Saccharomyces cerevisiae S288C: one gene and its partners. The gene in region 2 interacts genetically with the main gene of each other region. Each region holds a gene or a part of one and is shown on either strand. Other genes may lie near its edges. The genes, in order: AMD1, RHO4, CIT3 and AIM39.

What was found.
Region 1: mutations in RHO4 (region 2) and AMD1 together harm fitness more than expected from each alone (negative genetic interaction), as found in Saccharomyces cerevisiae (2 studies listed by BioGRID).
Region 3: mutations in RHO4 (region 2) and CIT3 together harm fitness more than expected from each alone (negative genetic interaction), as found in Saccharomyces cerevisiae (2 studies listed by BioGRID).
Region 4: mutations in RHO4 (region 2) and AIM39 together harm fitness more than expected from each alone (negative genetic interaction), as found in Saccharomyces cerevisiae (2 studies listed by BioGRID).

What each region holds. Positions count from the first base shown.
Region 1 is NC_001145.3:204,569-211,267, forward strand, and holds AMD1 (AMP deaminase), read right to left. Parts: upstream 4,293-6,699; coding exon 1,860-4,292; downstream 1-1,859. Other genes in the region: LFT1 (Lft1p), read right to left, coding at 1-840; CGI121 (Cgi121p), read left to right, coding at 1,074-1,529, 1,636-1,725; SRC1 (Src1p), read left to right, coding at 4,957-6,699. UniProt on the Saccharomyces cerevisiae protein: AMP deaminase plays a critical role in energy metabolism.
Region 2 is NC_001143.9:546,347-551,472, reverse strand, and holds RHO4 (Rho family GTPase RHO4), read right to left. Parts: upstream 3,258-5,126; coding exon 2,382-3,257; downstream 1-2,381. Other genes in the region: TRM2 (tRNA (uracil(54)-C(5))-methyltransferase), read right to left, coding at 106-2,025; DYN1 (dynein heavy chain), read left to right, coding at 3,548-5,126. UniProt on the Saccharomyces cerevisiae protein: Plays an important role in cell growth. Required to keep the uninucleated state. May be involved in the organization of the cytoskeleton which affects microtubule functions.
Region 3 is NC_001148.4:554,424-559,870, reverse strand, and holds CIT3 (citrate (Si)-synthase CIT3), read right to left. Parts: upstream 3,495-5,447; coding exon 2,034-3,494; downstream 1-2,033. Other genes in the region: PDH1 (putative 2-methylcitrate dehydratase), read right to left, coding at 1-1,486; histone acetyltransferase catalytic subunit HAT1, read right to left, coding at 4,142-5,266. UniProt on the Saccharomyces cerevisiae protein: Dual specificity mitochondrial citrate and methylcitrate synthase with similar catalytic efficiency with both acetyl-CoA and propionyl-CoA.
Region 4 is NC_001147.6:227,398-232,605, reverse strand, and holds AIM39 (Aim39p), read right to left. Parts: upstream 2,522-5,208; coding exon 1,334-2,521; downstream 1-1,333. Other genes in the region: adenosylmethionine decarboxylase SPE2, read left to right, coding at 1-160; DDR2 (Ddr2p), read left to right, coding at 851-1,036; ubiquitin-protein ligase PSH1, read right to left, coding at 2,772-3,992.

The DNA of each region.
Region 1 (6,699 bases), on a different chromosome or scaffold from region 2:
AGCTTGTTGATCACTCATACTCTCTTGCTTTGATTGGATGGTATTTTTATCACTGAAAGTTGTATCATCGTCAGGTGATAGGCCAGATTTTTGGCTTACCTCATCCTGAATTTCATTTTTGGCCTCTATAGGCTTTTCGGATTTCTTTTTTGAACCTGATTTAGAACCAGAATGGCCCCAAAATCCAAAAAAACTCTTCCTTTTCGACTTATTTTTCTTTGTCTTATCACCGTCTGATTTCTTCTTTTCTTTGGGCAATTCCTTAACAACGAATTTCTGTAGCGGGTCCACTTTGAAATCGGAATTAGCCCACGTAGAAGGTTTCTTGCCATCAGCTGTATGTGCCTCATTTCTCTCAAATCTTTCTTCCACCATCCAACTTTTGCTATTGGGCTTTATACACTTATCAATCTCAGCAGAAGCTCTATCAAATAACTGACTGGTAGTAGTAATTTTGGGCTTGTTGCTTCCTCTGCTCGGAGAGCCCTGCTTGAAGGTTGTATTTATAGTTTCTTGATGAGAAGTAGGTGCTACATTATGACTCCAGGAAAATAGAACTGGCCCATCCAGCTGTAAAGCGCCAGAATTCATAGTTATGGTTTTTTCCTCATCAATCCAATCTCTTTGTATTTGCCGACATTTCCCATCAAGTTTGTCGGTACTCAATTTATTCCCCATTTGCATAGGTGAATGAAACAAACAGTTCATCAACCGCCTACCGTTCGCTACTTCATCTAATAACCCATATAACGACACATCTCCATTTTTGGCTTGCTCGGAGTCATCTTGCGGTGTGTATTCCTTACTGAACAACTGGTCGATTATTTTGTTTTCGTCCATAATTTGTCCTTCCCAAAAAATAACCAGCTTAGATTCTGACAATGCTTGTTTCTTTAATTGATGATCTGTAATATTCGTTGATCATTAATACCATTGATTTCAATATTTCATGTTTAATCTTTTGCGCGAAAATTTCAATTGCAAACCAAAATATACATCAACAATCTTTTATCGGTCAACAAATTTGTCGATATAACCAAATATACGTCGTCGCTGCCCATTATACAATCATCATGGTAGTATCCATCATACCGCAATTTCCTGATATCAAGGTTTCACTAGCATTGTTTGAACAGGTTAAAAATGCTAAAGAAATACGCTCTAAAATGAGTGAATTGTCGACATCCTTTGCCTTTATTGACCCCCGGTTAGTCTGTTCGGGGGAGCAGATGTATTCTGCAATTTACAAGACCTTAATAGAAGTGAAATATAACAAGATGAGAACAAGAAATTTGAATTCCGAGTGCGTACTATGTCTTTCACCCACTTCCAATATTAGTGATGCTTTCCTCAAATTCGGAATCAAAGACGATTCGTCACAGTTAATATGCCTTAAGTTCCATACTAATACTGACGATGTAGACAAAGAGCAATTGAGGACGATTATGACTTCTATAGTAAAAGGACAAGAGATCGAGTTTAATGATGACAATTTATCGAGATTTTATGACGAAGCGCTCATAAGAAAAGTATGTTTTAATAATAAATTCGAGGTAAAAACTTCAACAGCCTCACCAGAAACACATTGTACTAACTTCACCTTTGTTTTCCTTTTATTTTGTTTTTACCTATTAGATCTATAAATTAAGTGATGATTTCAAGCCCCAAGACGTAAATGGTCTCTCAAGAGCTTTGGTAGACGCTATTCAATTGAGGGGTGTGTAGATAAGAGATATCTAACGATAAAATTATAAAAAAAATTCTTTGATTATTTTTCAGATTAGTATTATTTGTTCTCCGTGAAGTCAGTGTATCGAACTGCCAAAAGTTCTCCTTATATACATGTGCGCGTATAACCATCACTTTTCTTCAATGGTTCTCTTGAAATTGGCAAAATGATTAACTAATTCCAGTTCAGTTGATAATGTATCGTATCTGTAGTTAATTCTAATATCAGGAACATTTGTTCTAACCACATCGTTACCTTCAACACCACTCTTGTCAAAATCTTTCCCTATCCAATGTTTTTTGATTTGTGCTTCCCACCCACTTTGCAACACGGAATTTCTTGCCAATTCACACATATCTACATTAGACAATTTATAAATTTGTGCTGCAACTGAGTATTCTTCGATTAATGGTTCTCTGGTATATGAGAATTGTAAAGGATCATCTGTGGATAGTGAGACATTCAAACCTCTTTTAAAGTATCTCGGAAATGGGTTTTTATCATAGGTCAAAAATAATGCGTTATTAGAAAGGGGTGACATTGCGATACCAACCTGATCTAAATAGTATAAGTATTGAACAAATGGAACTTTCCTCAATAAAATACCATGTGATATACCATGTGCCAATAGATATGCTGAAACGAGATGCTCGGGGTCACCGGCTTCACCACAATGTGGTCTCAAAACCAAAGTGTTAAACCCTCTCTTAGCCCTCCATTGATTCAAAGACGCGACATTTGAATACAAATAGTACAGGTAATAGGAATAAGGAGGGTTTTGAGGAGCCTCCCAGAGTGATGGCTTGGGATATTTCCTATGAAAGCGGCGATCAACCTTGGATTCATCATCGACAGAATCAAACCCAATTACTCTCTGTAAAAATACATGCAATTTTGGATGAGACTGAGGATTTTTGGTCACTTCAAATAGTGGCTGAAACAGATTCTTACAGATGTCCTGGAAGCTTTGAACAATGCCAGTTTTCTTGTAAATATCATATAACCTCGGAATTTGGACTAACCAACGAACATTATGGGAAATAACTTTGTTGTCAATCACCCAGCTAGCTAGTTTATCCCATTCATCGAGAGACCTGCCATAAACAGAAATTCTATACTCACAGTTTTGGTATTTTGAATTCTCTAAATCGAATATGACTTGTTTGGTAATGTCAGCCAAGTAGGTACCCTTGATGTAGTTGTTTGTCTTCAAAAAAATTTCTCTGAGACGAGATTCACCGATAGGGTTATATTTTAAGTTGAATTTATCGAATCTGTGGAATGTATCCTTATGTGCATGCATATCTAAAGTATCGATGGATAAATCATATCCAGTCAAATGCAAAGAACGGAATACTTCGTCTAAAGTTAGTAGTTTCCCGTCCCTGAAAATAACCTTTTCATCTTTGGAATGTCTCAATTTGTGTTTAATGAAACGTAATAAGTGCTTTTGGTTCATACAAGCAGAATGGTGAACGTGAGTGTCCACTTTCCTAACATTATAAAAATCCCTGTGTGGGTTTCTTTTGGAAACGCTAGTTTCTTGATATTCGTTCAAGAGATAGTAAAGATTCCAGCGTGCTTCTAGGTATTGCAGCCTTCTATAAGCAAATGATTTAGCGGGACCGTCTGATGAGATGGAAATCATTTTTTCTAGATCCAGATAGTAGTCACGAAGGGTAGGGATTTGAGCAATTAACTCATCCGTCTTACCTGATCTGTGTACCACGTACGAGTCGTCATCGTTGAGGGTAAATTCCCAATCTGGATCCTCACCAGGAATTTCACATTTCGTAAAATCGAAAACTTCCGCATCCGGCTTGTTTGTTACTGGCACAACAGTCTTAGTGTCTGAGTTGTATGAAGGTTTAGGTGGTGGTGGATAGACTACCCAGCCTGGCTTATTTTTTGGGTTTTGATCATCGTTTTGCACAGATATGGTCTGATATTTGGCTCTCAAATTTCTACACTCTGCCACTTTGGAATACAAGTCAATCAACTCGGAAGAGGGATCATCAAGAAACTGCTGTGAAGCATCATCAGCCAACATTCCCATTTTATAGGAGGCAGAGGTACGTACCTGCTTATTCACTACCGGAGCGCCGGCAAATGACTTGAGCGTCTCTGGCAAGATATGCTGAGCACTAGCAGACAAGGTCCTCGGTTTACCCCCGGAATTTTGAGATGCATGGTCTGCCGAGTCATGGCCCTTATTCATCGCTGCTATGTTGGAAGAGCTACAATTGGTAGAATGCGATGGTTGCTCCAAGATGGCAGAGTGAGAATCATGCTCATCTAGGGCCAACTGTTTGGTGCCATTTTCCAACAACTGCTGATTCTCGTGATACGAGAAATTAGCATTCCGAGAATCAGCAGCTAAACTTTCGTGTGAATCTTGCTGCTCTAAGGGGGGTGTCTCATCATCCACTACGACACCAGCTTGTTCATCACCAATCTTTCTTTGATCTATGTCAATGACTAGTCCTGAACCATCTTGTTCATCGTGTGAAGGAGCTGGTTCTAGAGAAAGGTCGTTAAGCCTCTGTGTAGCCTGATTGTCCATAATTTTTTTTAGAATGCCCCCTTTTTATTTGTTATATAATTTATTAATCTGGCGTACTAGCAGTTCAATCGAGTTTTGCTGAATCAAAATTGGCTATAGCAGGGAGACTATAATAAAAATACTATTAATATCCGATAATTGACTAGTATACGAGAAACGCTGCTAATTCTGCCTGTAGAGAGAGAGAAGAAAAGTCGTCAAGAGATGCCTTTTTTTTTTTTTTAAAATTTATCTATTTTTTGATAATATCCTTTAAACCTTGTGCTACTAGAACTCCTTTCTCATCATCGCCAGGCGCAAAAAAAAGATGAAAAAGGAATGAAAAAAGAAAAGAGAAGACCCCCACGTGCCCTAAAAATAAAGTTAGGGCATCTATAAAATAACTAGGATATATATATTGATCACCCTGAACGGAAATCAAGGGTTTTAAAGAGCCCTCAAAATTACTGTTTTAGGAAGCCCCCTTTGTTTTTGTTTTGGTTTCAATTTGTGGTGGCTAATCTGGACATCGATCTACTTGTATAGCTGTCAATATACTATGCGGAATACATGGAAGAGAAATAGTCCTCAGTCATTATTAATAGTAGACTGAGACCATACGGAGTGAACGTAGAGGCCAGAACAACAAACAGTAGAACGGTAGCAGTACTCAGTTAGTGCCGCGATGAATAGTGACTTGGAGTATTTAGAGGACGGTTTTGATCCGAATTCAATGAAAGTTGCGACTTTGAGGAGGATATTGGTAGAAAATAATGTCGATTTCCCATCTAATGCTAGGAAAAATGCGCTGGTGGGGCTGTTCGATGAAAAGGTTAAACCGCAGATCCCGCAGTTACGGAAAATGTATCTGAACGTTCGGCCCAGCGATGAAGGTATTGTGAAAATGGACCGTCCCTCATCTTCCCCATCTATAGCTTCCCCTCGTAGAAGTAGACGAGCTCGCAGGGAGAAATCTGCTTCCCCCATGGCCAAACAGTTTAAGAAGAATAGAATACTGGATGATGTAAGTAATGATGATGATGATGATGATGATGATGATGATGACAATGATAAAAAAGACGATCCTTTAATTGTACCTAGTGGAACGGATACCGATGAAGTGGACGATGAAGAGGATGATGTGATAACATCAAGCTCCAACAAATCAGACACCAATGATTTCCAGCAAAATTCCGATACTCGTAAGAAAAGGAAAGACCCTGATTCTGACGACTGGTCTGAATCTAATTCAAAGGAAAATAAAATCGATAATAAGCATTTGAACCTCCTATCATCAGATTCAGAAATTGAACAGGATTACCAGAAGGCAAAAAAGCGTAAGACGAGTGATTTGAACCAAGAGCATGGAAATGGCTCTGCCATTTTAGGAAAACTTTCCGTCAAAACACCAATAAAGAACACAAATAGAAAGCCAGTAAGCATGGATAATTTTAACGATTCGTTGACTTCAAGCGGTACGGAAAATGATCCATTTGTACCGAACATACGACACAATCCAAAAGAGCTCGGAACTGCCAATGGAACAGGCCATAGCACACCCTTGAGTAAGTTAAAAGTTTCTGCCTCATTTGCGGATAAATTGCCTCAAAAGGAGGTACCATCTACAATACTGGTTCCAGAAGTGGAACAGCAAGAACCTTCTCAGAGTGAAAGAACACCGTCTTTGTTTTCGTCCGAAGGCTCTGGCTCAGAGTCGGAAGCACCCTTGCTTCCAGAGATCACCACGCCAGGTCCTCATCAGCCTATGGGTAATACCAGCAATAATGTGGTCGAAATGATAGATACAGATAGTAGTAACTTGGTATCGGATGAAGATGAAGTTTTAGTGCCTACAAGGATCGAGACTCCCCAATTACCCACAGAGAAAGACGTCGAAAAGTGTGAAGCAAGAGTGCAAGAACTTCAAGAGGAAGTAAATGAGCAATTAGAGCATGAAAATGGGAGTGAATTTGATGTTAAGCAAGGATCTGGGAAGGTCGGGAACAGGCATAAGTTCAAAAGAGCACTCAAATTTTTGAGCAAATCATTACTGGCGCTATTTTTATTTTGCATATTCATTGTTATTCCTCTCTTATTTGGCCTCTGGTATAGAGAGCAAAGACTGCTCATAGGTTACTGTGGGCATGAAGTACCATCCCATCGAGTTAGTGGCAATTCCTTCGAGTTTATTCAAAAACTGGATAATTTGTTGCAGGACTACAGACCGAAATGTATCCCTTGTCCACCCAATGGTATTTGTTATCCTTATTTGAAACTTAAATGTAAGCCAGATTACAAGTTAGCACCATCTAGACTTGACTTTTTGGAAATTATTCCTGCACAAGGCAAATGTGTTAAAGACGACAAAAAACAGCAGTTAGTTTCCGAAGTGGTTGAAAAATCTTTAGAGTTTCTGAGAGCCAAAAAT
Region 2 (5,126 bases):
GAATCTGAGATACATTTTCAATTTTCAAAATGTACGGATTTAAAAGTACAGGAAGACATTTACTCTAGAAAGATATACATAGTGATAGATATTTTATATGTGCAATTAGATTCTCTTCATTATACACACACTCTCAACGTGGTGCGTTTGTGGAAAGAAATCAAATCCTCTTATGCTTTCAATCTGGTGGGCGGAACCGTTTTCTGTTTCTTTGAGGAAGTACTCGACATCACGTGCCTGGGAATGGACATTACACGATATGTAAATAATCTTGGCTGGATTATATGCGGCTAATTGCTTTAGGAATAATTCGTCACAGCCCTTGCGTGGTGGATCCAAGATAACGGAAGTGTTTTCACTTGGAGTATCAATAGACTCAAAGAGTTTCTCAGCCTTTCCAACGATGAATCTACAGTTTTCAACACCATTTGCCTTTGCATTTTTTTCTGCAAAAGAGACACTGTCAGCGGAAATTTCTACACCAATCACTTTATCTACGCCCTTGGAGCTGCATATACTGAAAAGACCTGATCCACAATAAGCATCTACTAGAAACTTTGTTTTATTATCATCACCTTTAGCGGGAGCTTGCAAGTTATCACGGACATACTTGGTCACTATTGGCAGGATAGAGTTATTATTTTGAAAAAACTCACCCGCACTAAAATTAAAAGTATATCCATCAACATATTCAGTGACAATTTGTCTAGGATTGGTAACGCAAGTTTTAGCCAGCCTGACATTGTTCTTTTTGTCTTCGACTTCGACATAACTTATATCACCATTTTCATCCCTAGAGGCTTCTTCGGTTAACTGTTCTAAAGTTGGTTTGGAAGGGTCTAAAATAGTGGTATTCTCTCTCAGTAAAATAGTCGCGCCTTTTTTGTAGTTTTTAAACTCTTGCTCAAACTTTCTTCTTTCATTAGTCAATCCTTTGTTGAGAACTTCAGTTGCAAGCACACATTCATCGATATCTAATATCGAACCATGTCCGCCGATATCCAAAGTATCTTTTCTCCATTGAGGTCTACCCTTTTGACCAAATCCTAAAGGAGGCCTTACTGATAGTTCCTTTTGTTTTCTTTTTGGCATATCGAAATGAGGCGTAATTTTGGTCCTGTAGCCAAATTGTAAAGGGGAAGCTACGGTGGTGTCAAATGGGGGTAAAAGTTTTTCAGCAACTAACCTTGGTGCGAAGAACTTGTAGGCATTCATAATTGTTTTTCTTTTCAATTCTAGTTGGTCATCGTAAGTTAAGAACTCTAATTGACTTCCTGAAGATTTCCCGAAATATTTATCCCTAATTAAATCATCTCTTCTCATTGGAGATTTTTCCACTACGTCTAATAAATCACTCTCGACATAGTAAGGGTGGGTCTTAAAGACTTTGATATTAACTACATCACCGGGCAGGCCAAACGGTATGATAACAACTTGCTTCTTTTCTGTTTCAACAGGATTATCGATCAAAGCCAACCCGTTGCCATTGGAAGTAATTTCTAAGACCTTGACATTTTTTACCTCTCGGTGATATTGTAAGACGATAGGTCCATCTGTTGAGGACTTATCATTTAGAATTGAAGTAACATCGTTCAGAACCTGCTCCCTGGACAAATTTTGAGATTTTAACAAATCGTTCACTTCAAATTCTAGGACACCCATCGGAGAAGTTGTTTCAACCTTTTTGGCCTTGTACTTTCTCAACTTTGGCTTCTTAGTCCGGCGGTTACCAGAATCTGTCAAAGGAGACGAAAGCCTTTTGTTGTCAACGGTATGTTTCATTGTTGGTGGTACCATTTCAGTACTTCCAGTCATGGTGCTGATTAGTTTATAATTATGCTTCTTGACAAAGTTTCTGCAAGCGAAAAACCTAGCTTTAAATATAGACTTCTGTACGGTCCAAAAGCAACGCATGCATGTGATAATACTCCAGCGTTTTATCGATGAGATGAGATGAGCTTTATATTTAACCTTATTGTCTGAATTTTCGAAGAAAAAAAAAGAAAATTCAAACTGTTCGTACATAATGACTTTGTCCTAAACTATTCCTCTAAAATAAAATGACAGATTTGTACTTTTATGTCACAGAAGCTTTTATTAAGTATTTAATGTAATTAGGCTAGATTAATATCGAATTAGTACTTTATGACATCGAATTAAAATGAATTATTATGATAAAATTGGGATAAATTCGAATATATTGGAGCGGTATATCACACCAGATTCAGAAAAATGGAAGTTAAATTAAATCAGGTTCTAATTGTTTCGTCTTGATAAATAAGATAGCGGAAGATAGTAAAATGTGTGTATTTTTTCTTGCCACTTTTCAAATGTTGTAAGTGCGTACAGAATGGGCAACAGAATAATCTTCATCATTATTCTTACATTATAATACACTTGTTTTTTCTTAATCTTTTCGTTCCGGAAATAGAGACGCTGGTATCTCCAGTAGAAGAATCGATATCTGATCTGGTGGTATTTCTTTTAAAGGGATTTTTGATTGTATGTGTAGGCTCTCTGGGAGCATATAATGAATCGGAAAGTAACGTGTGTATGGCAGTTTCAAATACTTCATCGATATTTTCTTTCAATCGTGCTGAGCATTGAATATGTGCAAATGCCCCCAGACGCTTGGCCAAGGATTCTGCTGAACTTGGTTCCACCAGATCTGAAAGGTTATCAGCTTCATATAGATCTGATTTAAGGCCGACTAGCATGATTGGAGTGGAAGGACAAAAATGCTTAACCTCTGGGAACCAGAGATCTTCCACATTTTTAAGCGATGTCTTACTACCAACAGAATAGCACACCATCAGCACATCTGCATTCGTATATGAAAGCGGTCTAAGTCTACTATACTCTTCTTGGCCGGCAGTGTCCCATAATGCCAATTCTATAATTTGACCGTTGGGTCCTTCTATGTTTGTGACATAATTTTCGAAAATAGTAGGAATATAATCAGTCGGAAATGTTCCTTGGACATAAGATATCAGCAGGCACGTCTTCCCTACAGCGCCATCTCCCACAACAACAATCTTTAGGTGATAATCTGGCAGTTTGTTTGTACGTTTCATCTGCTCATAACTAGGAATGGTAGAAAGGCTTCTAGCGAATGGAGTAGGCAATCTGGGAAGATTCTTTTCATCTAAAGTGCCAGGTGATTCAGGAAGATTGCTACTTGAGGGCGATCCCTGCGAAACTATGTTACTTTCGTTCCCACAATTGCCACCTTTTCGCTTAAATAATAGTGTATTCATGAAAAAGCGTTACTATTGGAGATTTTTGGACCTATTTGACTTAAGTTTGCTGTAACTTTTGAGGGATGCTTATCATGTCTTTTGTCGTCTTAACGTAAGGCTATAACTACTTAATCAGATCATCCCGAATTGATGCGCGGAAGGTCGCATTGTACGGATTCTAATAAATAAGCTAATGAAAGGTAAACAAACATTACATATAAAAATTAACAGAAAGCATAGAACATAGAAGGGCAATAATACTCGTTCAGAGCTTAAATTGGAAAGTACGTCAAAACGTTTTTTAGGCAATGTGCAAGAATGAGGCAAGACTTGCTAATGAGCTGATAGAATTTGTTGCAGCTACTGTAACGGGTATAAAGAATTCTCCCAAAGAGAATGAGCAAGCATTCATTGATTATCTACATTGTCAATACCTTGAACGGTTTCAATTTTTTTTGGGATTATTGGATGGGAGAGAGTTCGACACGTTGTTTGTCTTCCTTTTTGAAGAGCTGGATAGAACAATAGTTACAATAGACATTGGTGAAGAGGCTATATATGATGCCAACTTGGCGAATAAAAAGTATTCTACTCTATTAATTATTAAATCTAGAAGTGTTATTGTGGATGCAGAACCGATTGCAACACAAATAAGTGCCATATACTTACCTGGTCCAGTAAATGCGGGGAACCTGGCCTCAATTATCACACATGGCGTATCGTCTGTGTTTGGCCAATTGATAAAATCAGATACAAAGACATATTCTGTCGAAACTATAGATAAAACGAGGAGGAAACTTGACGACATTTCTAAACAATTTCAACAGTTACATACCTCAATTGAAACGCCAGATCTTTTAGCGATGGTCCCTAGCATTATCAAATTGGCTGTATCAAAAGGGGCTACTTCACATGATTATGCAAACTACCTTCCTAGTAATGATTTGGAAAGTATGAGATTTTTGAACATTTTACAAAGCATTGCAAACAAATGGTTTTTGGTTCTTAAACAAACATTAGCCATTGACAGAGATATAAAAAATGGTTCTTTTTTAGACGAAGTTGAGTTTTGGTCGAATTTCTACGAAGTACTGAAGTCGTTAATTGAACAAACACAAAGCCAAGAATTTCAGGTGTGTCTATCCGTTCTAACAAACGCAAAGAGATTTCATAATTTAACAAATTTATTGAATGAAGGTTCACTTTCAGATAAATTTAAGCTAGCGGATAAATATAACCAATTTCTATCGTCAATCCCTATCGATGAGGTTCGCCAGGCAAGCAATCTTGAGGACTTGCAGGAACTATTTCCTGTTTTAGCATCTTCTTTGAAGAAGTTCAGATATTCAGGTTATCCAGTTCAAAGATTTGTTGTGCTGATGGACAAAATTTCACAAGAAGTCATGGATGCAATTCTAAGTAATCTTTCAGATTTATTTCAGCTAGAGTATGGTTCTTTTTTGGGTTTATATGAAAAATCAGCAGGCATGATAGAAGAATGGGATGATATTGTCCAGGATGTCAATCTTTTAATAAGAGAGGATCTTAGGAAAAGAGCACCACAGGAGCTACTTATACAAAAGCTAACATTTACAAGTGCATCCGTAAAGGCTACTTTGGATGAAATTTTAAGCACACGCAAGCGATTTTTTTCATTGGCAGAAACCATTAAGAGTATATCCCCTTCTACTTATCACGAAGAAATACAGAGATTGTATCATCCATTTGAGCAGATCCATGATATTTCCGTGAATTTTCGATTGAAATTGGAGCAAGCCGAAAGTGAATTCAGTAAAAACATGCTCGATTTGGAAAAGAAGTTACAAAATACGTTGGCAAGTTTTATGGACTCTGATCACTGTCCAACCGAAAAATTAAGTTATCTAG
Region 3 (5,447 bases), on a different chromosome or scaffold from region 2:
TTACCTTCATTATAAGGTCGACTTTATCAGGGCTCTCTACAAAATGTTCGCGCAGATGCCTTTGAAATTTATTCATTAGTAATGGTATTCCTTCCTCTCGTCTAAATTTGTGACCAACAGGGTACTCTACAAAAATTTCATCCAACTGCGTCCCATCGTTCAGCTCTATGAGAAGAGCGTTTCCTATCGACCTTTTATCAGGATCGTGATAGTTTTGAGTGAGATGAGTATCTTCGATACAGTACATTTTCGATCTCAAGTTATCGATCTCAGGATTTCTTGCGACCTCATCCGAATAATCAGTAGCTGTGAGATTACCAGTAATCAGCGGAACCGCGATCATGTACTGGATACAATGATCCCTATCGGCATAATTATACAGAGGACCGGATTTATCTATAATCCTCATTGCCGCCTCTTGAGTTCTAATTCTGATCGATTTAATATCTTTAAAAGTTTTCCCTTGTTTGGCAAGAATCCTATATGCTTTTACAGCAGCTTCTACAGCAGTTTGCGCATGGAATTCGGCAGGAAATGATATCTTGAACAGAACGTTTTCCATGACGTAGGAATCATATTTTGATCTTTGTTGGAATGAAAAAGGTTTACCCTTAAATAAAACGTCATAAAATCCCCAGGTTCTAGCTGTTAATACTGAAGGTATCGTGCCAACATTAGCATTTTTGACTAAATAAGCCAAGTTTACAGCCCTCGAAACTGCATCTCCCGCCGCCCACGACTTTCTAGATCCAGTATTTGGGGCATGACGGTAAGTACGCAGTGATTGACCGTCTACAAATGCTTGTGACAATGCTTCAATAGTTTGTTCCTGGCTCAGGCCCAGCATCTTCGAGACAACACCAGCCGTTGCTACTTTCACGAGTACCACATGATCTAAACCTACTTTATTGAAAGAATTTTCGAGCGCTATAATACCTTGGATTTCATGCGCTTTAATCATTGCCTCTAATACGTCTTTAACAAGAAACTGTTTTCCATTCTTTCCGTGGGTAGCCTTGTTTAATCTGGACAAGTGATCCGCGACAGCTAAAATTCCCCCAAGGTTATCTGATGGGTGCCCCCACTCGGCAGCTAACCAGCAGTCATTGTAATCTAACCAACGTATTAGAGTACCAATGGCAAAAGCTCCCTTCACTGGATCCATAACGTAAGATGTGCCCAATATTTTTGTTCCACTGGGAACTATTGTTCCTGGCACAATTGGTTTAATAATATTTTGAGCCTGCTTAAATTTCAAAGCCGCCAAGCCACAGCCTAGAGTATCAAGGAAACAGAGTCGTGCTGTATCTAGAGCCAAAGATGATTTTAATGGGGTTTCATGGACATATTTCGCGATGTCCTTCAAAACCTTATCTGGATTTGGTCTTTCATTAGTTTGTATAGACGCTGTACTCAGCGCAGCAAATTTCTTTTTAGGCAAGCATACCTTGATTTTATTATTTTTTAGATTTTTGGCTAAAAACATTCTGTTTGCTCTCGATCATCAGAGAACAGTAGAAAATACCAAAATACTATTTGAGAAAGTCCTAATAAGTTATACATACATTATGGCAGATTTATATACCTTATACACTTTCTTTGGTCATGCTTTCACATTAGTGAAGGTAAACATATGAGGGTAAAAGTTGAATGACTAGAATGTGGAGAAATAAGGTCATCTCAATAAAGTTTGTAAACGGCCCGAGGTCCGACATCGGGGAAGTGGCTACCTATAGACAGCATCATATATCAGAGAGATTGGGGACGAAAAGCGCGATGTGGTAAAAAAATAAGTCAAAACTCCAGAAATAATACAATCAGAGAAAAAAAAAAAAAATAAGAATATATTTTACTAACGAGATTGGAATTGCTGAATAATTTTTTGATAGGTGTGTTAACCGACCATATTTTCCCCTATATGTTTTCATGATGAATATGTATAAATTAGCTATGATTAGACATGCTGTATGGAATTTTATTTATATTTCAATATTGTAATAGCAAACGAAGCATTCTTGTAAATTGGAACTGCGTTACAACTTGTTAACATTGCTTGCTTTGGTAAGTGCTTCCAGACCCTCCAAGTTCAAACTCTTGGGCCTTTCAATTGGTAAACCTAGAATGCGATCCCAAACAAGTTGTGTCAAGGGTCCCATGGCCCTTGAACACCCAAAAATGACGGTAAAGAATAATAATTCCCTGATTCCATAATGATAAAACAAAATCCCCGATGCAGAGTCAACATTGGGAAATGGATTCTTACTCTTTCCGTGTTCCAACAAAACCTTAGGCGCTATTTCTGCCAATTTTTGCATCAACAAAACGTTCTTGTCGTTCTCAAATTCAATAGGCCTCTTTTGCGCAAATTCAAGCATTGCTGTAAATCGAGGATCCGGTTTACGCAAAACTGCGTGCCCATAACCGGGGATCACACGGTTTGAATTCAAAATTTTCCAAAGATAATCTTTGATTTCTTGTTCTCGTGCAATGCTGGAAATATTAGAGTTCATCTCTATGAGAAACCTTACTACTTCTTGTGCTGCTAACCCATGCAAAGGACCCGCTAATCCCATTATTCCAGATGAATAGCTGAGATACGGGTCACTCAACGCACTTCCAACCAAGTGGGTGGTGTGAGCAGAAACATTACCACCTTCATGGTCTACATGTATACCGGTATATAACCGCATCAAGTTTATGAAGTCCAGGGATTGCTGGGAAGTAAGGTTGCATGTATTAGAAGAGTTCGTTCCATTTGTCATGCCGAGCAGGGAACATATGTTTGTACACCAATCCACCTCCTCACTATATTGACCTAATGGGTGTCCCTCATTTGTAATGTTCGAATAAATTCTCCCAGTCAGCAGCGGGAGTGAAGCAATTAAATTTAGCGAATCTTCAAGAGTATCTTTCCAAAATTCCATCTTTCCTATGAGGCCCTTTTGGTAGTTTGTAGCAAAGAGGGATCCTTTGTTCATTGATGCTAAACCAATTGCAAGTTGGGTCATAGGGTGCATATCTTTGGGTAAACTTGACAAAACTTTCTCTGTATAATGTGGCAATTTCCTTCCACGAATAGCCAATTCTTTCCTGAAAGAAGCAGCTTGCTGGAAAGTTGGCACACCACCTGTCATCAACAGCCATAACATTGATTCTGGCAGGAAATTATCGCCATCAATACCTGTATTAGGTAATCTATTTTGACATTCTTCAATCGTTAAACCTTGAAATTTAATGCCATGTTCGGGATCTAATGATGTTCCTTGCCAAAACATTGACTGATTACCTCTCATCCCACCTAGAACTGATGAAATGGTAATCGGTCCGACAAACGTGCTGCCATAACAGGCCTTCAATTTCTTCACAGCATCTCTTTTCTTAGGTATCACGTTTTCTAATGCTTCCTTGAGAGTCAATGCAGAAGACTTTATAATTGCAGACGAATTGAAGGACCTTCTGCATATATGTGCGCCCGGTAGAAGCCTTTGTACCATTTTGTATTCAATTATTTAGCGGCGTCTATGTATAAATTCTTGATCAAATACGATCTTTTTTTTATGATTAGAATGCTTGACAAGCCAGTCATCTTAAATACATAGGGATGAAAAAGCTTTATCTCCTATTTAAGGTCATCCATTTTCAGTGTGGAGTAAGTCATCAAAACTGCTATTTAGCCGCTTTGCCGATTTCGCTTTAGAACCGCTACCATGGTGTGTCACTTCCCCAATTTTATTTTTCTGTTCAAATTGTTTGCTCATAGAAATATTTATGTTTTTTTGTCTTTCAACTGAATAATATTTCTATTTTCGGAAATCTTAACCAACAAAAAACAATTTTTTATTTTTGTTTAATTTAAAGAAAAAAATTATTTTTATAATTAAAAAAAATTAAAAATAAAAAATATATCATGTGATCTATTTGTGATCACTACCATGATAAGAAATTTTATATCAGTCAAGATAATCTCTTTAATATAACCTGTAATTTAGAATTACGACAACATAACGGCTTCAACCTTTGCATAAGCTTATATTAACTATAGAGACACTTTGATGATCATCTCGATGATGTATTTATAAAAGAATTTCTTATTTCAGGCTTGTTAAACAAATAAATATGTTATTATATATTTAATAAACAGTTAACCTTGAGATTTATTTATCGACTCTATAATACGCCTATAATCATCTTTGACTAAAATAAATGAATTTTGTAAAGCTTCTCTTGCCTTTTCTGGATCAGTTTGATCTAGGGCATCATAATTTTTAATGTACAACCTATTCTTTACCTTTAATTCAAATGATGGAGAATTGTTTAAAAGAAGAAGCATTTCCACAAGACGATTAAACTGTCTTTCTTCCAGTTTTAAAGATTTTCGGCTTGACTCCAAAAACTCATCAGAAAGGTCGGAGTGCTTCTGAAAGACAGCATCATAACCAAGTTTTCGCAGTCTTTGAATATCATTCCTGTCGCGAAGATCGTCAAATGCTTCGTTTGGATCCTCTACAGTAATTTCAGTAATACTTTTGTCTTCTAGCCAAGATTGGATTATAGCCTCATAAAGACAGGATCCGTGGCCTTTATTTTGATAAGGTGGAAAGATCAGAAATTGAGATATTTTGGCTCTGAATTTTTTATCTATATCCTCATCGAAAGATTTTGCTCCAAGGTAGTGCCAATACTTGTAAGTAGTGACGAAACCAATCAATTCTTTTGTTTTCTTGTTCAACAACCAATAGATTTGCCAACTCGGGTCAGTCTCATCTATATAGTTAGCGGCTTCGATAAAAAGTAATGAAAAGATTTGAACACGACGATGCATTCTCCTGGCAAAATCGTCAACCAAACTCGATTTATATACAACAAATTCTTCCCCATTCAACGAATACTCTGATACTTTTTCAAAAACATCAGATAAATTATGTGTTTTTCGTTCTTCTGCAAAGCAATCTACCCATTTAGCTTCATCCCTAACAATTACATCATCCTTTGGTAGAAATGAGAGTAATTTTTTTTCCACGTCTACAATATTGTCGTCTCCTAATTTTGCTGAATACTTGACGTTAACATACGGCTTGAATGTTACTGAATCAAATGCTAGGTGGATGATGAGATCCTTATAGCCGTAGATCTTTTCGGAGTCACCGTAAATTGGATACGTGAATAATGGTGAAAACTGAACAGCGTTTTCTCCAACTATAGAAACTCTTAAGGCTTCGTTGGCGCTTGAAGTCCACGTTTCAGGCTTGAAATCATTGGCAGACATATTCTTGATTCTCACTATAGTTATAGCTTAAGCATAATTTTGCTGAAAACAATTCCAGAAAGATCTATTCCTAACTTCAAGTAGAAATACATAGAAATCTAATAAATTCGTTATTCGAAGACAATATATTTATCACTTATAACGGTGTGCTATTTCAAGAACTTAATCCATCAATTCTGGG
Region 4 (5,208 bases), on a different chromosome or scaffold from region 2:
GTTCTCGATGACCTTTTTTACCAAAAATTATCAGAACCAATCCTTCCAAAAACTACTAAGCATCAACGAGTCACTGCCCGACTACATCAAGTTAGACAAAATTGTTTATGATCTGGACGACTACCACCTTTTCTATATGAAATTGCAGAAGAAAATATGAAAAGCCGCCATTTGTGTCTCCTCATACTTACATAGAATAGCCCTCTTCTATTATCCTTCGCTTGCTTTCTAGCACTCATAACTAATGTAGTTTAACCCGCTTGTATATCTTCTACATCATTACCCCGCATGCTTTTTTTTTTCCTCTAGAGAAAACCGGCACAGATTGGCCGGACCCGGAACAGGAAAAATGGCCACTGAAAATTCCTGGCCAGACCACCCCTGAGCTAAGGGAGTTTAGCCGCTCAAGCTTTTATTTCCTCTGATGTAATATATCACACACCCAGACACGGTTGCCAAGGCCTCGACGGAAGGCCGCTTCAAGGGACGGGGCAGTGGCTATCAGAAATACCTTAATATCATCAATATTTTTCATCAATCGCAAGGTGTCAAACATCAATAAAGGATGATGCTCAAAGGTTTATGCCCGATGTTCTTCTAATCCCCTTTCTCTCCTAAAATAATCCTTTTTTTACTCTTCTTCTTTTCCCCTGTTTCCATTTTTGTCTTTTCTCACCCCTTATGGGACATCAATAATGCAAGTATGTTTATACATTTTTATATAAATGTATATATAAATGCCATTTCTTACACATAACCTCCATTCTTTGGTTAATTCTTTCTTCATTCTTTTTTTTTTCATTCTGAAAAGCCCTCCAAGCAAGCACGCTAATTTAATATCGATTTAAACATGAAAGTATCACAAGTTTTCATTTCTGCCATCTCTGTCTTCGGCCTCGCTACTAGCGTAAATGCTCAAAACGCATCCAACACCACGAGTAACGCTGCTCCTGCTTTGCACGCTCAAAATGGTCAACTACTAAACGCCGGAGTCGTCGGTGCTGCTGTTGGTGGTGCTTTGGCCTTTTTGATTTAGGAAAAACGCCGCTTACTGCCACGATGATGATACCCTATTGACGTTTCTGAAATGTATAATTTCTTTTCTCATCTTCCCCTTTGATATTCCATCTATAGGCCCCAGAGTAGTAAATTTGGTGCTTTAATTTTTTTTCTCTTCTTCCAGTTCGTCTCTATTTTTTCATTCCATTATATTTATTTATCAGTTTTACTTTCTCAAATATTCTTATATAACACTATTTCATCTACGTAACCGAAAATAAGTAGTTTAATAACGATAATAATCATAATTGTGATAAAAATATTTACATTTTTCTTACTTGTCGCCCGCTTCGTTTTTGTATAGAACGTACTGTATTAGTTGTCCGTTCTTTTCACGTCTGAAGAGGTCGATTTCTTGCAATTTAACATCAACGTGGTATTTTCCATTATATACAATCAAAGAATCATCGTCCAGTTCGATTTCGCCATGAAACCAAAGGTGTAATGCATGTGAGTCCCCCTGCAGTGGGTATTCGTACTTGAACGACCCGTATACCCTCTCCGGCGATATAATCTCAAATAAATCGGCTGTTTCCAAACCAATGCGGTTCAGTAAATCGTCGATGGTTCCCCGTATACTTATTGGCCGATGCGTTATCCTCCATTTGCAAACAAAGGGTATTCTATACCAAGTGTGCGAACTATCCCTTTTATCGTCTGGCTCCATTACAATACCAGTTACACATGGATCTTGATCTTCGCACCACATGCTGAATTCATTTAACGTGGGTGAATTGCCATCTTTATCAAGCAATGGTACTCCGTATTGTTCCTTGATCATGTCATGACCGGATAATATCTCTAAAACCCTTAATTTAGAAAGCTTCTGTACTTGGTTTACGTCAACCTTTTTCAAATCTCTGGTACTCAGTTTACGTATCTTGGATGATGGAAACAATGGTAAGAAACTTTGTTCCTTTAAATATATCACTCTATAGATTAGTGAGTATCCTAATATCACACCGAATATACCACCAAATATGGCGGACCATATTTGCTTTCGGCGCTTGTTTCGCTGATGTGTTATTGCTTGACCAATGCTTCTCAAGTCCTCTCCTTTTATGTTAGGACTGTGTCCCTCTTCAATTTCCCCCAACTTCGTCTGTTGCTGTTGATGTGGCGTCGTAAAAAAATGCTTGCCATCATGGACATGCCTTTTCGACTCTGTCAATGAATTTCTTTTAGTTGTAATGCTTTTATTCAAGGTATTCAACCTTACATGACAATAGGTAGGCGCCTGGGTAAATAAGCATATACTTCTCGCGGACAGTAGAGATGTGTTAGCATTACGTAGAATCGCAAACCGTATCATTACCCCTTTTTCCTTCTTCTTGCAATTGAATACAGGAAACAGTTGCTTTGTCTTATGTTCGCTGCCACTCTTCTTTGGTTTTAATGCTTTGTTTCTCTCCTGCACTTGAATTTTATTGCTCGGAAAATGCTTCTTGCATAACCCCCACATAATTGGGCTGATTAACGTGACGCTAAAAAAATACCAATAGCAGTCCCAAAAAAAAAAAAAAAAAGATTCACATATGTATTGATTTTACTTTACGAAATTCTTGACCTATTTATATCATAAACGAGTGCTTATATTTCCGATCCTACTATCGCTTAAAAATCTTAATGTAATAAGGATAGAAAGGAAATTTTTTAAAAACATACATAAAAGTTCCGTACATATGCCGTTCCCGCTAGTTAAAATGTTCAGATTATTCATCGTCACTGTCTCCTAGAACTACACGGAAGCGTTTCTGCCTTTTCGGTTGTGGGTCATCTAATTCTTCCGTGTTATCGTCATTGTTATCCTTGACATCGCTGGAGCCGGAATACGAAAGTGAACGATCTTCGGAATCAGAACTCGATTGTATCCGTGTAACCTCCTTCTGATCCTCATCAAGGCTATCACCACTTACAAAACCATCATCATTATGCTCGTAAAAGTCACTATCGCGATCTTCCTCTTCTGTAGCATGTCGCCGTTGCTCCTCTTCCTCATCATCAGTAATAATTACATGTCTGTTCTTGAGTGCAGACAATACCAAATTCCTCCTACTTCCATCTTCATCTTCGTCATCTTCATCATCCTCTATAAAATCTTTCAAATCGGAATCCATCTCCTCTTCTTCTTCCTCATCCTCTTCTTCGTCGTCTTCATCATCCACAGCATCCACAGCAATACTACGATTATGTGACCTGGCCCAACGGCCTAGTGGGATATGTTCTCGCATGGGCTCCTCTTCACTGCTATCATCGTCTTCAGAACTTACATCATCTCTATTAGCAAACGGATTGGTAGACGCAAATCGATTCTCTCTACGCCTACGCATGCTTTCCCGGATTTCATCCAACTCTCCTTCACTGTATTCTTCTTCATCAAATTCGTCGCGACCACCTGCGTAATTCCGTATTCTGGCATTGCAGTGGGGACAAACATTTCCGTCCTCTACTTCGTCTGGGTCTAATTCCCAATGACAATTACTACAACGTGTGATACCATCATCCGAGTCGTCGGCCACTGCCAATGCGCTATTCTTAAATACTTTGTCAAACAATGTGTCCTTTTCCTTGTCATTCTTGTAATCATTTTCCTCCTTGGTTTTAGTTGTTAAAAGTTTTTTAAAAGATTCATCATTCTGGTCCCTTAATTTCTCTAAAATGAATGATAGATACTGTTGCAACGTTGTATTCAATGCGGGAATGGTGGTAATATCAGATCTGCACTGCGGACAAGCCAATTCTTTTTGAGTATTGCTGGCAAACCAGGTGTTCAGACAACCATAGCAATAATTATGACCACAAGGTGTCATCATCGGTACAAACATATAATCGTGGCAGATGGAGCAAACTAACGATTCTATTATCTTATAAAGTATGGCGTCCTTGGTGCCATCGTTTTGGTGAAGTAAACGGTTGTGTAATTCGTCGCCCATTATTCTTATCAATATATTAAAACTTTCTGTCTGAGAAAAAACGCGATCGTTCGTTTTCTGAAAACTTAATGCTTAAAATAGAATATTATCAAATTCCTCATCGCAGTTGTATGCTAGAAGAGAGCTCATCTAAATTGTAGTGGACATAGGATAAAAAACGCCATTGTGTGAAATGGCCCGAAAAAAAAGTATTGGGTATTCAAAAATAACGACCCCAGTGAGGGTTGAACTCACGATCTTGCGATTAACAGTCGCACGCCTTAACCAACTTGGCCATGGAGTCTAATATTTTATGAAAGATCTAAATTTTAGAAACTTAATGATGCACAGTTCTCAATGCACAAGATTGTGAGAAATGGGAGAATTTTGAGACAATTGTTGAGATTCCATTATTAATAAAGGTTTAATATTAGGTATATAGAACATGTTAGAGGTGTTGGAATGAAACTTTAAAATATCATCTTTTTAGTAGTATTCGTGTTACTAGTATATTATCACATGCAGTGTAAGAAGATAACATAAAGATTGGGAAACAGTTAGATTGATTGAAGCGAAATGCAAGGACTAATAATGTAATAGGATAATGAAATGTATAAAACGGAATTGGGAATATTCGTAATATTAGTATGTAGAAATATAGATTCCTTTTTGAGGATTCCTATATCCTCGAGGAAAATTTCTATTATAATCTGTATACATAATATTATAGCCTTCACCAACAATGGAATGACAACAATTATCAAATTATTCACCCAGTATTCAAGAGGTTTTCCACAAGGATATAGGAATCCATAAAAAGGCATCAGTATTATTATTACCATTTCTTATTCATTTACACGCCGTTATTCACTATTATTGAATAATCAATCATTGCATTTTTCAGCTTCCATTACATCTGATGCTATTTCTTAACCTTTATGGTTGCCTCTTATTCAACAAAATTAAAAGGATGAGGATAGAGAGTTAACTGGTTTTAATTTTTGTAGATGTAATGTATCCTCTTACAATTTACATTTGTTAACTCTAGGACATTATTAGGCTAATAAAATCATAACAAAAAGAAAAAAAAAACAAACGAAACAAAGTATTTTTTGTATGCCATGAACCATCTGCATTAATTACTTTAAAGCCAATAAGGACACTAATTAAACGAAAAAATAGGTATACTACTAAGAGATAGGTGAATAATTTGGTAATTATTCAGATGAAACTCTAG